2 linked regions of the Anolis sagrei genome follow. Each later gene encodes a partner of the first gene's protein in a complex. Links are inferred from orthologs where the notes say so. Each region holds a gene or a part of one and is shown in the gene's direction. Other genes may lie near its edges.

Region 1 (7,043 bases):
CTAAGTATTTATCCCACCTTGCCCACTGAAATAATAAATGGCATGTCACATTGAGATGGTGTTGGTTCTCCTGGTAGGGAACATACTAAACTCTTTCACCAGTGAGTTGACTTGATGGATAAAGGCATCTGCAGTTAATTTCCCCTCTACTTACTGCAAATGTATTGGAAGTGGTAGCTTGAACTCAAAGGCACAATCAACCTTCAATCATAAGTTCTGATTTGCATTCTGTTGCTGCAATATTTCAATTTTGTATCTGTGTCTGGTGCAAGTTTTATATATGTGTGTGTGTGTTTGATCAAAATTGTTTATTTTATATATTTTATGTTAATATGTTTTTGACTATGTTGTATCCCGCCTCGAGCCATCAAGAGATACAAGTAATAAGAAATTTATAATTTTTATTACTATTATCATTATTACTTGAACTCTGGAATATGTCAATGTGTGATTTCCTGTATTCTTTTCCTATACTATTTACACCATGCTCATACTTGAAAGCATTGCACTAAATCAAATTAGTTCCAACTAGAATAGCCCCATTGAACCAGTGGGACTAACATATGTGTTGATTTATTATCCAGCAGCTGATGTACTGGGGCCCCTTCTACACTGTCATATAATCCAGATTATCGAAGCAGATAAATCACATTATCTGCTTTGAACTGGATTATATGAATCTACACGATCACATAATCCAGTTGAAAGTAGAGAATCTGGACTTTATATGGCAATGTAGAAGGGGCCTGGGAGTACTCTAATTAGTACTAACAATTTAATATAGCCCATTATCTTGTCAGATGTAGGGTGTATCTATGCTGTCAAATTAATGCAGTTCCATAGCACTTTAATTCTCATGGCTCCATGCTATAGAATCCTGGGACTCTGCCAAAGAGTGCAGGTGCCTCAACACAGGCTCTCTTGAGCTCATTTTGCTGATGTCAATTAAACAACATTAAACAGGGCTCTGAAAATGAAATTTTCAGTACAGGTTCATCAAGTTAGGCTAGATTGCTATCACATCTGAAGTATGCTTCAGAGACAAGTATGTGCTGGCCATTGCTCCCCTCCCTCTTGTTATAGTCAGTTGTAAACAAATTCTCCACATATCTAGAATGTGAAGAAAAGCTGTTGTGGGTTGCTGTGAGTTTTCTGGGCTGTATGGTCATGCTCCAGAAGCATTATCTCCTGACGTTTCACCCACACATATGGCAAGCATCCTCAGAGGTTGAGGAATCTGTTGGAAACTAGGCAAGTGAGGTTTATATATCTGTGAAATGTCCAGGGTGGGAGAAAGAACTCTTGTCTGCTTGAGGTAGGTGTGAATGTTGCAAATGGCCACCTTGAGTAACATTTAATGGCCTGGCAGCTTCAATGCCTGGCTGATTGCTGCCTGGGGGATTCTTTTGTTGGGTGGTGTTACCTGATGGAGTATTGTCTGGAATTCCCCTGTTTTCAGAGTGGTGTTCTTTATTTACTGTCCTGATTTTAGAGGGTTTTTTAAAATACTGTTAGCCAGATTTTGTTAATTTTCATGCCTAGTTTCCAATGTATCCCTTAACCTCTGAGGATGCCTGCCACAGATGTGGGCAAAATGTCAGGAGAGAATGCTTCAGCAGCATGGCCATAAAGCCCGGAAAACTCACAGCAACCCAGTGATTCCGGCCACTAAAGTCTTCGACAACACAAAAGCTATCATGCTTTTAGGAAAGTAATAGAATATTTGATTTTCACCAGAGATTTAATAATATTAGCAACTCTGAGGCTATATAGACCCAAGTGCCTGCATGCCTTTGATTTTCATACATACGAGGGGTGTCCATTAAAGATTTCCCCAACCCTCTTCTATTTATCACAGGATGCTGAAACTGCACATGTGTAATGATATAAGTCTCTATACGTTTGTGCCAATTTACACCTCAGAACGGATAACAGTCTTGATTTTACAGGTGTTGAAGTGGTGTGAGGTTTGATAATGGACCCAGTGGAATACATAGCAATCCTCAAGTTCCTTTACTTGAAAGGCTGCATACCAAAGGAGGCGTTAAATAAGATGAAAAAGGTTTATGGTGATGATTCTCCATCATATGAGGTAGTCAAGAACTGGCATCGTCAATTCAGATGTGGTCAGACTTCGGTGGAAACAGCTCCAACTCTAGGAACAACCCATTCTGCTATTGATGAACACATCATCCAGCAAGTGGAGGTCACCATTTTGGAAAATTGCCATTCACCACCTAGCCTGATATGTCAAGATTATTGTGGAGTCTTTGGAAAAAATCTCCCAAGACCATCTTCACATGCATAAGGTATCCTCTCGCTGGGTCTAGGTAGAGAAGGACTAATAACTGTGTCAAGTTTGATTGCTCTCAGTCCACAGGAAGTGGGTCAGGGAAAATCTTTAATGAATGCCCCTCATATCTGTTGTTTCGACATTTCTGTTCACTGAAGGCTACAACTGAAAGAAAGATGGTAGAAAACCATGCCTCACATGTGTGTTAATTTAAAACATACCAAAGCGTGCCTGAATCCTGACCACCTCAGTATTGAGGAAGTTCTCAAATACACAACTAAAACATCTCCTTGGACAGTGATAATACAAACAAAATAGGTTGAGCATCATTTATCCAAAGTTCTGGAATATGAAACATGCCGAAATTGTCCGTATGGGCAGCTGTGCTTTTTGATGGTTCAATGTACACAAACTTTGTTCAAGGCACAAAAATATTGTGTGTAGAATTGCTTTTGGCCTATGTGTATATGGTGTATATGAAACACAAATGAATTTATTGTTTAATCAGGTTCCATATTCAAGATATTTTGTGCATAGAAGGCATGATAATTAAGTTTGCAGATGACACCAAATTGGGAGTGATAGCCAATATTCCAGAAGACAGGAGCAGAATTCAAAACGATATTAACAGATGAGATGGGCCAGAACTAACAAAATGAAGTTTAACAGTGACAAATGCATGATACTCCAGTTAGGCAGAAAAAAAAATGAAATGCAAAGATACAGAATGGGGGATGCCTGGCTTGAGAGCAGTACATGTAAAAAAGATCTTGGGGTCCTCGTGGACAACAAGTTAAACAAGAGCCAACAATGTGATGCGGCAGCAAAAAAAGCCAATGGGATTTTGGCCTGCATTAATAGGAGTATAGCATCTAGATCCAGGGAAGTAATGCTACCCCTCTATTCTGCCTTGGTTAGACCATAACTGGAATACTGTGTCCAATTCTGGACACCACAATTGAAGAGAGATATTGACAAGCTGGAATGTGTCCAGTGAAGGGCAACTAAAATGATCAAAGGTCTGGAGAACAAGCCCTGTGAGGAGCGGCTTAAAGAACTGGGCATGTTTACCCTGCAGAAGAGAAGGCTGAGACACGATAACCATGTATAAATAAGTGTGGGGAAGTCACAGTGAGGCGGGAGCAAGCTTGTTTTCTGCTGCCCTGGAGACTAGGACACGGAACAATGGCTTCAAACTACAAGAAAGGAGATTTCATCTGAACACTAGGAAGAACTTCCTGACTGTGAGACCTGTTCAGCAATGGAACCCTCTGCCCTGGAGGCTTTTAATCAGAGACTGGATGGCCATCTATTGGGGGTGCTTTGAATTCAATTTTCCTGCTTCTTGGCAGGGGGTTGGAATGGATGGCCCACGAGGTCCCACGAGGTCTCCTCCAGTTCTAGGATTTGAAAAAATAAAATAGAAATGTTTTTGATCCCAAGCATTTCGGAGAAGGGCTGCAGCTTGGGGCACATCTACACTGTAGAATTAGTGAAGTTTGACACCGCTTAATGCTATGAACTTATGGGAGTTGTAGATTTGCAATTTTTTTTATCCTCCTCTGCCTCAGAGTGGTGGGACTTCACCAAACTACCACTCCCAGATTCCAATGCCGTTAAAAGTGGCATCAAATCCATACAGTGCAGTGCTGTAAGGACACAGTTGCTTCCATGAGAGCTCAGGCTTGGGCTGGCTTCTTCCGTTGCCAAGGAAACGAAAGGGCAAGGCGGCTGCGATGACGTCATCAGGGCGCGACAGAGGCCTTTCCCAGTATGGCGGAGCCGGCGGTGTCTCGCAGAGAAGAAGCCGTGCTTGTGTCCGGTGCGACTTCGGGCGAGGAGCCGCCTGTCTCTGCTGCGGGGGCGGCTGACGGGAAGGAGAAGGGCCCCGGGGAGCCGAAGGAGCGGGAAGCGGCGCCTGGAGAGGTGGGAAGGGAGGGGAGGGCCTTCTATGATCTTTCAGCTTTGAGCCAAGGCTGTTCTAATGGGAGCAGGCCGCATTTATGCTGCAGCAGGCCTGGGCAAACTTGGGCTCTCCTTCCAGGTGTTTTGGACTCCAACTCCCACCATCCCTCACAGCCTCAGGCCCCTTCAAACTGGTGGCCAGAGATAACAAACTGTCACAAAAAATGTGCAAAATAAAGCCCTCAAGGTGCATCAGTGCTTTGTGTCATCATCATGCAGGCTTCAGATTCATTCCAGGATCTCCTAAGCAACCATCTACACAGCAAAACCACGTTTTTCAATACTGGTTTGAAGCAGCATTAAATGGTCAGTGTAGATGTGCCCTGTGTTATCTGAAAATTGTGTCACCCCCCAGAACTGTTTTTGCAAATTCAAAGGAAAGGGGCTGCATGGAGAATGGAGGATTGCACACTGTGATGGAACCCCTCTTCAGGTTGATGTCGTGTTCAAACCCTTGAGATTTTCCCAGGCTCAGGCAGGCCTTCAAATGCTAATGAAGGTGGTCAGTTGAAACATTCACACCTAGCTCTAGCAGGGAAGAGCTCTTTGCCCCACCCCAGCCATTCCACAGATATATAAACCCATTGTCCTATTTCCAACAGACCTCACTACCTCTGAGGATGCTTGCCATAGATGCAGGCGAAACGTCAGGAGAAATGCCTCTAGAACATGGCCCTATAGCCCGAAAAAACCCACAAGAACCTAGTGATTTCAGCCATGAAAGCCTTCGACAATACCTTGAGCTTCTGTCACTCATCTTGCCCTTTTACCTTAAAGATTCCCTCCCAGGACCTGATACTGAGGCTTCATGGAGACCACTGCACTGGGCAAGTGAATGGGTGATCAGTGATAAAAGGGCAACCACCTCTAGTTCAAAGAAAGTCATTTCTCCTTGAACCTTTACAACTCTTTCAGCTCCCTAAAACCTATTACAATTTTATGAATCCATCTCTTTCTACAAGGTCCTGAGTTTTATCCATATTCCTGTGTTTCTGAAGGACCCCGGCTCTTTAACAGACAAGCCTCTACATCAGAACTTTTAAAACATTTTCCACTTGCAACCCCTTTCTGTCTGATAATTTTTATGCGATCCCAGGTATATAGGTATATAAAATAGGTATAAAAATTACACATTTACTGATAATAAATCAGCATTTGCAAGGCTTGCTAAACAGAATGATTTTACTTTTTGAAAAGTATAGCTGAAACATTTTCAGCGGAATCCACTGTAAACACTGTTGCTAACAGTTTTGTGTAAATCGGTGGTATTCAGAACCTTTTACTGCTGCCACCCCAAAATTGACTTTATTTGGGGTCAGGACCCACAGTTTAAGAAGCAATGATCTATATTTTCTCCTTTCCACTACAAGTCTCTCATCACAGCATTCTGTAATTGTAATAGGCTGGCTCTTTACTTCACACACACACTTCCCAGTTAGACCTGGCCCTGCCATTCTGCCAGAAGAATGCTATCTTTGTGTTTTGCCCATTTAAGACAGATTCTTAAATTGAATTTTTTAGTGTTTATCAGCTATGATTTATAAGTTCTGTCATGAGTTATGGTTAGACATTTAAGAACTATGTTAGGATTATAGCTAAGCTGAAAATAATTTTCTTCTTAGATCAGAACTGAGGATTCTGTAGGTCTGCTCACAGGAGAGACAGAGGAGTCAACATCTTCTGCAAGCAAGAAAGTAAAAATAGAGATAAAAGATAAAAAAGATAAAAAGAATAAAGTTGATGAAGATGAGATTCAAAAAATGCAGTGAGTACTCTTATTTTACCTGATGCATAACTTTCGTTGTTCCTAATAACCTGTAGAAGACTAAACTTGCTAGTGAACAATATTGTACTTTTTTGTTTCGCGCTGTTATTTATTGGAGATACACGCTATTAAGCACTTGATGGGGCTTGCAACCTCTTTGTCTATGCTTCCCCCCCATAAAGATGGAAAAGCTTATTTCAAATAAGTATGTAATAATTACTCCTAAATTAATTTATTGATATGCATTCCTGTCCCTTTTAGACTATTTTTACGGGACTGGATCCAGAAAGCCAGTGCATGCATATTCCTTTGTCTGCAGTAGCAGTCTGTGCATCCCTTAAAAGTTTGGTTCCTGGTGTGAGATATCCCTGGGAGCACTGGAGGAAATAAAATTGAAATTAGTGAAACTGATGCTTCCCTCTCCCAATCAGCAGGAACATTCATAATGGAATATGCGTCAGAGCTACCATTGATGCAAACAAAGTCTGGAGTCAATCCATTCTTTTATCAATAGGAATTATGTTATGGTATTGTCTCTGACTTCCAAAGCTGTGTGCTTCCTGTAGCTTTAAGTGTGCTACCAGTTGTAGATCGAATGATGTCTCTAATTCCATGCTGTTATTGTTTTCCTCAAGAATACTAGTTTCCTCTTTTTCTGAAGAACAGCTAAATCGCTATGAGATGTATCGTAGATCAGCTTTTCCGAAGGCTGCTATTAAACGGGTAAGGTTGTGCTTTAGTCTGGTTTGAACTGTTTTAGATTTGCCTGTTGATTTGATCACTATGTGTAATATGAAGAATGTAGATGCAGTGTTTTGACTGGATAAAATCTGTCATTTTGACTTATCCCAGTCAGTGATGCAGCTACTAGGATTGTTATTACATAAGGATGTATAAGATTTAAAAATTACAAATGCACATTTATAAAACTGGATTTTGTATCCTTTCTCCTTTCTCAGTTGATCCAGTCAATTACTGGAACCTCTGTCTCTCAGAATGTGGTTATTGCCATGTCAGGGA
Region 2 (7,612 bases), on another chromosome or scaffold:
TTGTTGCAGCCACAGTCCCCTAATGGTCAGCTATTGCTTCCCCATGGAAGACCCTCCGTCCCTCCCATTGACACTGCCCCTTCCTTCCTCCCCCCAAAAGACCCTTCCTGCCCTTGCTCCATTCTTTTTTATTGAGGCTTTAATGGCGTTGCTGGCCTGGAGGGTCTCTCTCCTCACAGAGATCTCAAGATGGGTCAGGAAAGGTCATTGCTGGGTCCGGGACCCCTCCTCCTGCTGACCCAAAGGGTTCCTCTTCCCAGAGAGGAAAGGAATATTCAACCCGAGTCCTCCCTTCTTTTCCTCAGCAACCACCTGAGACACACTTTTAGTTTAGTGGGATTCCAGACAGCAAACAAACCGGTGCCAGTGAACACCTCCTAAACAGAGGGTGCCTCCAGGCAACAACACTGACTGGCTTTGCAGCTTCATGGCTACTCAAGCTTGCTCGTTGCAACACTCGCACTCGCTTCACACAGGCAAGGGTTCTTTCTCTGACCCGGGACTTCATTCCACAAGTAGATGGGTAGATAGATAGATACATCTACACTCCGCTGGCCTCATTTCCAAAAGACCTCTGAACAAACCTCTCAGGATGCCTGCCACAGATGCAGGAGAAATGTCAGGAGAGAATGCTACTGGGACATATCGGCCAAAAAACTCACAGCAGCCCACTTTTAGTTATTTTATTGTGTCCCTGATCGGCTCACGTGCCATCAGGGGAAAGGTCCCCTCTTGATTATTTACTTCCATTTGTTCCAATTGGAGGGGGGTCAAGGAAGGTCAGGGCTGGTCACTCCTTTTCCGGTTGCCCCTCATTGCTGAGGACCTGCCAGAGACCCCTCCCCAAAAACTCTCCCCAGAAGACCCCTGCTCTCTGCTCTGCCCTTTGTCATTGAGGCGCTTGCTTCGAGGGTCTTGCTGGTCTGGAGCGTCACTCTCTTCCTAGAGAACGGACGGTCAGTCACTGCTGGTCACTCCTGCTGCTGCTGCTCCAGGGGGCATCCACCTCTTGGGCCGGAAGGGCAGCAAGACCCAATTGGATGTGAGTCCTGGAAGGTCACTGCTGGAGACCCCGAGTCATGGAGACCCCAAGTCATGCAGACCCCAAATTGGGCCACTGCTGGTCACTCCTGCTGCTCGCTCTCTAGCCCCCCCACACCTGCTGACCCACCTGCTGACCCATAAGGGCAGCAAGACCCAACTGGAGGCAAGTCACTAAAGGTCACTGCTGGCTGGAGCATCGTTCTCTTCATGGAGACCCCAAGGTGGGCTACTGCTGGTCACCCCTGCAGCTCGCCCTCTAGCCCCCCCACACCTGCTGACCCACCTGCTGACCCGTAAGGGCAGCAAGACCCAACTGGAGGCAGGTCACTGAAGGTCACTGCTGGCTGGAGCATCATTCTCTTCATGGAGACCCCAAGTTGGGCCACTGCTGGTCACTCCTGCTGCTTGCCCTCTACGGCCTCCCCACCTGCTGACCCGGAAGGGCAGCAAGACCCAAGAGGAGGAGGGTCAGGGAAGGTCACTGCTGGCTCCTCTTCCTCCTGTCGACCCGGAAGGGGCCCCCGTGCCCGGGCACGATGATGTCGGCCAGCTCTAAGGCCCGTGCCCGGCTCTGTGCCTGCCTGGCGGGGTCTTCGCTGAGTTCTTCCCAGACGCCCTCGTCCCCCTCCCGCTCGAAGAGGTCCCCGGCCAGCAGGACGTCCCCCAACTCCGTGCCGCGCACCAGGAGGCTGACGTCGGCGGCGGTGTGTCCCGGGGTGGGCAGCACCTCCAGGTGCCCCTCGTGCAGGACGTAGGGCTGGCCCTGGCGCAGCCCCGTGGGCAGGTAGCGCCCCCCCGGGAGGGAGACGTCCGTCCCCATCACCAGCTGCGCCGAGGGGAAGAGGTTGAGGTTCCCGGCGTGGTCGGAGTGGCCATGGGTGCAGACCAGGTGCCGCACCTCCCCCGGGGAGACCCCCCGCGCGGCCAGGTTCGCCAGCAGCCGCTCCCGGCCCCAGGGCCCCCCCGTGTCCACCAGGGTCGGCTGCGGGCCCAGCACCAGCCCCACCGTCCCCTCCGCCCGCATCCCGCCGTCCGGCAAGGCCTCCGAGAAGCCCTCTTGCAGCACCACCACCGAGTACGGGGAGCCCCCCATCACCAGAGGGACGGCCGATGACGGCGATGACATTATCCTCCTCAGGAGTGGAGGGGCTTCTTCCTGGGGGAGAGAGGAGAGAGACTACGGTGTAGGTGAGTTATTTATTGTTGTATTGTTGTTGTTCCCTACCTCACTCATTCCAGGTGTTTTGGACTTCAGTCCTTGTAAGCCGGACCGAGTCCTGCGGGAGATGGTAGCGTGGTATAAATAAAGGATTATTATTATTATTATTATTATAGATTTACAGGTCTTCCTTCCCTACCTCACTCATTCCAGGTGTTTTGGACTTCAACTTCTAACAGCCAATAATAATAATAATAATAATGATAATAATAATATAAACATATTATAGTATAATGTAATATAACAATAATATAATATATTATTAAACATTATATTATGAAAATAATATAATAATAAATATAACAATATTATCAAACAATAATAAAACAAAAAACGATAAAACATTAACAAATAATACAATATTATTAAAATAATATAATAATAACATATTATAGTATAATGTAATACAATAATATAATAATATATTAATAAATTTTATATTATGAAAATGATATAATAATAAATATAATATTATCAGACAACAATAAAACAAAAAACTGATAAAAATTAACAAATAATACAATATTATGAAAATAATAATAACATATTATATAATAATGTAATACAATAATATAATAATATATTAATAAATTTTATATTATGAAAATGATATAATAATAAATATAATAATATTATCAAACAACAATAAAACAAAAAATGATAAAACACTAACAAATAATACAATATTATGAAAATGGTATAATAACATATTATATTATAATGTAAAAAATAATAATAGAATAATATATAATTAACATTATATTATGAAAATAATACAATAATAAATATTATAATATTATCAAATAATAAAACATTAAAACCATAAAATATTAACAAACAATACAAGATTATGACGATAATATAATAATAAAAACAATACTATTATAAAACAATATAATAAATACAATATTATTATTATAAAACAATGACAAAACAAAACAAAAATAATAACATGTTATGATAATAATGTAATAACTACAATATTGTTATGAAACCATAAAAGAATAATACAATAATTAATTAATAACATAATATTATGAAAATGATGTCATAAATATAACAATATTATCATTATAAAATAATGGTAAAACGATAAAATAGTAATAAATATTTAAATAATATAAAAATGATAAATTAATAATATTAAAACAAGATATTATTATTATTATATGAAAAATAATATATATAAAGAAATATAATAATAATAATAATAATAATAATATAATGATACCGGTTGTGAGGAATGGTGGGAGTAGCCGAGTTTTCCCTTCCTCAACCAACTCGTGTCAAGCCTCAGGAGCGACTAGCCCTTTTGGGCAGGCGCAATGGAGCCGGAAGTGCATGGGCGGAGCATGGGGGCGAGAGCGCCCCGCTCTAGGAGTCCATCCTCGTCTCGGTGGCGCCGCGCCTGCGCAGTGTGTGTGTGTGGGGGGGGGAAAGCCATCGGCCGGCCTTGAGGCGGGAGCGCCGCTCTAGGAATCTCCCCTCCTCTCGGTGGCCACGATCAACTCGAGCCAAGCCTCAGGAGCGACCAGTTCTTTTGGGCAGGCGCAGTGGAGCCGGAAGAGCATGGGCGGAGCCTGGGGAGAAATCGCTCCGCTCTAGGAGTCCGTCCTCGTTACGGTGGCGCCGCGCCTGCGCAGTGGGGAGGAAGGAAAGGCATTTGGAGGGACTTGCGGCGGCGGGAGTGCCCGCTCTAGGAATCTCCCTTCGTCTCGGTGACGCCGCGCCTGCGCAGTGGGAGGAGGGAAGCCATTGGCGGGACTTGCGGCAACGCCCACTCTAGGAGTCAGCCCTCGTCTCGGTGGCGCGGCGCCTGCGCAGTGGGAGGAGGGAAGCCATTGGCGGGAATTGCGGCGGCACCCGCTCTAGGAATCTTCCTTCGTCTCGGTGGCGCGGCGGCTGCGCAGTGGGGGGAGGGAAGCCATTGGCGGGGCTTGCGGCGGCACCCGCTCTAGGAATCTTCCTTCGTCTCGGTGGCGCGGCGCCTGCGCAGTGGGAGGAGGGAAGCCATTGGCGGGGCTTGCGGCGGCACCCGCTCTAGGAATCTCCCTTCGTCTCGGTGGCGCGGCGGCTGCGCAGTGGGAGGAGGGAAGCCAATGGCGGGGCTTGCGGCGGCACCCGCTCTAGGAATCTCCCTTCGTCTCGGTGGCGCCGCGCCTGCGCAGTGGGAGGAGGGAAGCCATTGGCGGGGCTTGCGGCGGCACCCGCTCTAGGAATCTTCCTTCGTCTCGGTGGCGCGGCGCCTGCGCAGTGGGAGGAGGGAAGCCATTGGCGGGGCTTGCGGCAACGCCCACTCTAGGAGTCAGCCCTCGTCTCGGTGGCGCGGCGCCTGCGCAGTGGAAGGAGGGAAGCCATTGGCGGGTCTTGAGGCGGCGGGAGCTCCCGCTCTAGGAGTCCGCCCTCCTCCGGCCGGGGAGTGAGGGAGTGAGGGAAGGGGCGATGGCGGAGGAGAAGCGTGCGGGGAAGGGGGGCGGCGGAGGGGGCGGCGGCGGTGGTGTGGCGGGGCAGGTGCCCCCGGAGTCTGTGAAGGCGATGGCGGAGGCGGTGGGCCTGGCGGCGCTGCCCGAGGAAAGCTGCCAGCTCCTGGCCGAGGAGGTCAGCTACCGCCTCAAGCAGGTCGCCCAGGTCAGAATAAGGGGGGGGGGGAAGGGGCAGGGACCCCTCCCCCACACACAGGCACAAGGGGACTCTGGGACTCCACTTTGTCTTCTGTGCTATGCTAATAGCATATCTGACACTCTCTGAATACACCATCTCTGTCCTTCCCATGGAGCAAAGCATGGCGGGTGGAACAGACTCCTCAGGTCTGCCACACTTTGAGCATTATTAGACTGAGTCTTTTATAGGAATATTCTCTTGATGTCGTCCCAAAGCTGTAACCGCATCTCCATCTACGAACCCACACGCTCACTCCGGTCATCTGGGGAGGCCCTGCTCGTGATCCCGCCTACGTCGCAAGCGCGCTTGGTGGGGACACGGGACAGGGCCTTCTCTGCGGCGGCCCCCCGACTTTGGAATGCCCTTCCAAAAGAGCTTCGTCAGGCCCCTACCCTAGCAGTTTTCAGAAGGAACCTAAAAACTTGGCTGTTCCGATGTGCCTTCGCAGATTAGGAATCCCCATCCCAAGTCCTAGAAGCACTTTAGCACAACTATTGTTGCTGCACACCGCACTTTTAATCTTACGTTCCTCCTGCCATCTCAGCACTTTTAACCCTGCACCCCATTGCGCTGGCCGAACCAGTTTTAATAATGTCTTGATGTATTGTCATTGTGGTTATTTTGCTTAATTGTTTTGATTTGCTTTGTTTATTGTTGTGTTATGTTTCTATTGTATTGTATTTGAGGCTTCGGCCCGTGTAAGCCGCATCGAGTCCTTCGGGAGATGCTAGCGGGGTACAAATAAAGTTAATAAATGAATGGTAGCCAGATGTTGATCTTCTTGATTGGTGTTGACAAACACAAGGCTTGTGTTGACTTCCTTCTTAACATAAGGAAGGTTGCAAACATTTCCTTAACTTGAAAGAACCATTGTCACGGTTTTATTAGAGTTTACTTTGTAGTTCTTATTAGCAACCTTTAATTACAGTCCAGCAAATGTCACAGTCCTTATCAGAGTTGACTTTTCAGTTCTTATTAGCAACTTTTAATTACAGTCCAGCAAACAGGTAGTTAGTCATTGCAGGCCTTCATATTTTACTGGTGCTTCCAAAATTATTAAATCCACTCATTAGGGTTGGGCGGTTTTGTTTCGTAATTTCGTAATTCGTTAAAAATTCGTTATTTTTTTTAAAATAACGAAGCGATATTGAACCATTCAGGAGCAACTAAAAAACGAAACGAATTTTTCCAATTCTTTTCGAAATTGATTCGTTATTGATTTGTTATTGATTCGTAAATGTTTCGTTATTATTTCCGCATGTCTGGTGCACGTTTTAGGGTTGCTGTTTGTTTTCTCAGTGAAAAAAAAATATAATTATCACACCAACAGTCAACAACAGAGGGAGAGGGAAGCTTCAGAAGTTTTTTTAGCGTATTGAGCGATCGCGGCCGCCATTAACGAATCGATTCGTAATCGATTCATAATTGTTTTGTAATTGGTTTTTTGATTTCCGAAATTTTGTAAATATCGAACTTTTTTAAAGGAAAATTTCGGAATTCTTTTAAATAACGAAACGCAAAAAACCCCTAAAAACGAATCGAGTTTAGAAACAAATTTTTCCGTGTTTGGACAGCCCTACCACTCATACCTTCATCTTCCATTCTTCCATTCATTCCTACACATAATATTCAATTCACATTTCTCAAATTTTGGTGACACCTCCTCTCCCCCCCCCCCCAGACATCCACAAGGCCCCTTCGTGACGGAGACTCCCCTTTCCCTGTTTCCCCTGCAGGAGGCGCTCAAGTTCATGCGGATGGGCAAGCGGCGCAGCTTGGCCACTGCCGACCTTGACTGTGCCTTCAAGCTCAAGAATGTGGAGGTCAGTCTCTGGGGAGGGGAGGGGGTGGGGCTTCTGTGTGTGAGAGGGAGGGTCTTGGGGGCATGGCTTCATCGAGAGAGAGGCGGGGCTTAGAGAAGGGGGCAGAACTTCACTGAGTGGAGGGGCTCGCTTGTGAGAGGGATGGCTTCCTTGATTAGGGGTCTGTAGGGGTGTGGCTTTATTGAGAGAGGGGAGGGGCCCAGGGAAAAGAGGGATGTAGCCTGGAGAGGGGGGGGCTTCCTTGAGGGAGAGGGAGGGTTCTAGGCAAGTCTTTCCCCATTAGGGATTTGGAGGGGGCGGGGCTTCATTGGAGAGGGGAGGGGCCAGGAAAGGGGGTGTGGCTACTTATGGGAGGGGGCAAGCCTTTGCCTTGACAGTCCCTCCCCTTCTCCCCCCCCCAGCCAAGAGAGGGCATGAAGGGGGTGCCTCTTTGAGAGTGGGAGGGGCCTAGGGGAGGGTTCCCTTGATTAGGGGACTGGCGGCAGGGCTTCCTTGAGTGAGGGGCGGGGCTTCCTCTGGCCTTGCCTTGACACGCCCCACCCCTTCTACCGCCCAGGGAGGGGAGGGGCTTCCTTGAGCCCCCCTTGGAGTCTGGATTGAGGCTCCCCGGTCCTGAGAGAGGGAGGGGGCGGGGTCTAGAGAAGGGGCGAGGCTTCCTTGAGTAAATGGGAGGGGCCTAAGGAGGGTGTTCCTTGATGTGTGGCCTGGAGGGGGCGGGGCTTAGCTTTGACTCCTCCCCTTCCCTTTGCAGCCCTTGTACGGCTTCTGCGCACAGGAGTTCATCCCCTTCCGCTTTGCCAGCGGTGGCGGGCGCGAGCTGTACTTCTACGAGGAGAAGGAGGTGGACCTCAGCGACATCATCAAC

What was found.
Region 2: TAF11 (region 1) and TAF6 share a complex: the UniProt entries of both Homo sapiens proteins name them as parts of the TFIID basal transcription factor complex. The link is inferred for Anolis sagrei from reciprocal best matches to the Homo sapiens genes TAF11 and TAF6.

Annotation. Positions count from the first base shown.
Region 1 is NC_090024.1:189,429,061-189,436,103, reverse strand, and holds the start of TAF11 (transcription initiation factor TFIID subunit 11), read left to right. Parts: upstream 1-4,032; 5' UTR 4,033-4,066; coding exon 4,067-4,219; intron 4,220-5,880; coding exon 5,881-6,023; intron 6,024-6,658; coding exon 6,659-6,746; intron 6,747-6,982; coding exon 6,983-7,043. UniProt on the Homo sapiens protein: The TFIID basal transcription factor complex plays a major role in the initiation of RNA polymerase II (Pol II)-dependent transcription.
Region 2 is NC_090026.1:539,764-547,375, reverse strand, and holds the start of TAF6 (transcription initiation factor TFIID subunit 6), read left to right. Parts: upstream 1-4,591; 5' UTR 4,592-4,705; coding exon 4,706-4,891; intron 4,892-6,660; coding exon 6,661-6,747; intron 6,748-7,498; coding exon 7,499-7,612. Other genes in the region: MBLAC1 (metallo-beta-lactamase domain-containing protein 1), read right to left, coding at 1,523-2,170. UniProt on the Homo sapiens protein: The TFIID basal transcription factor complex plays a major role in the initiation of RNA polymerase II (Pol II)-dependent transcription.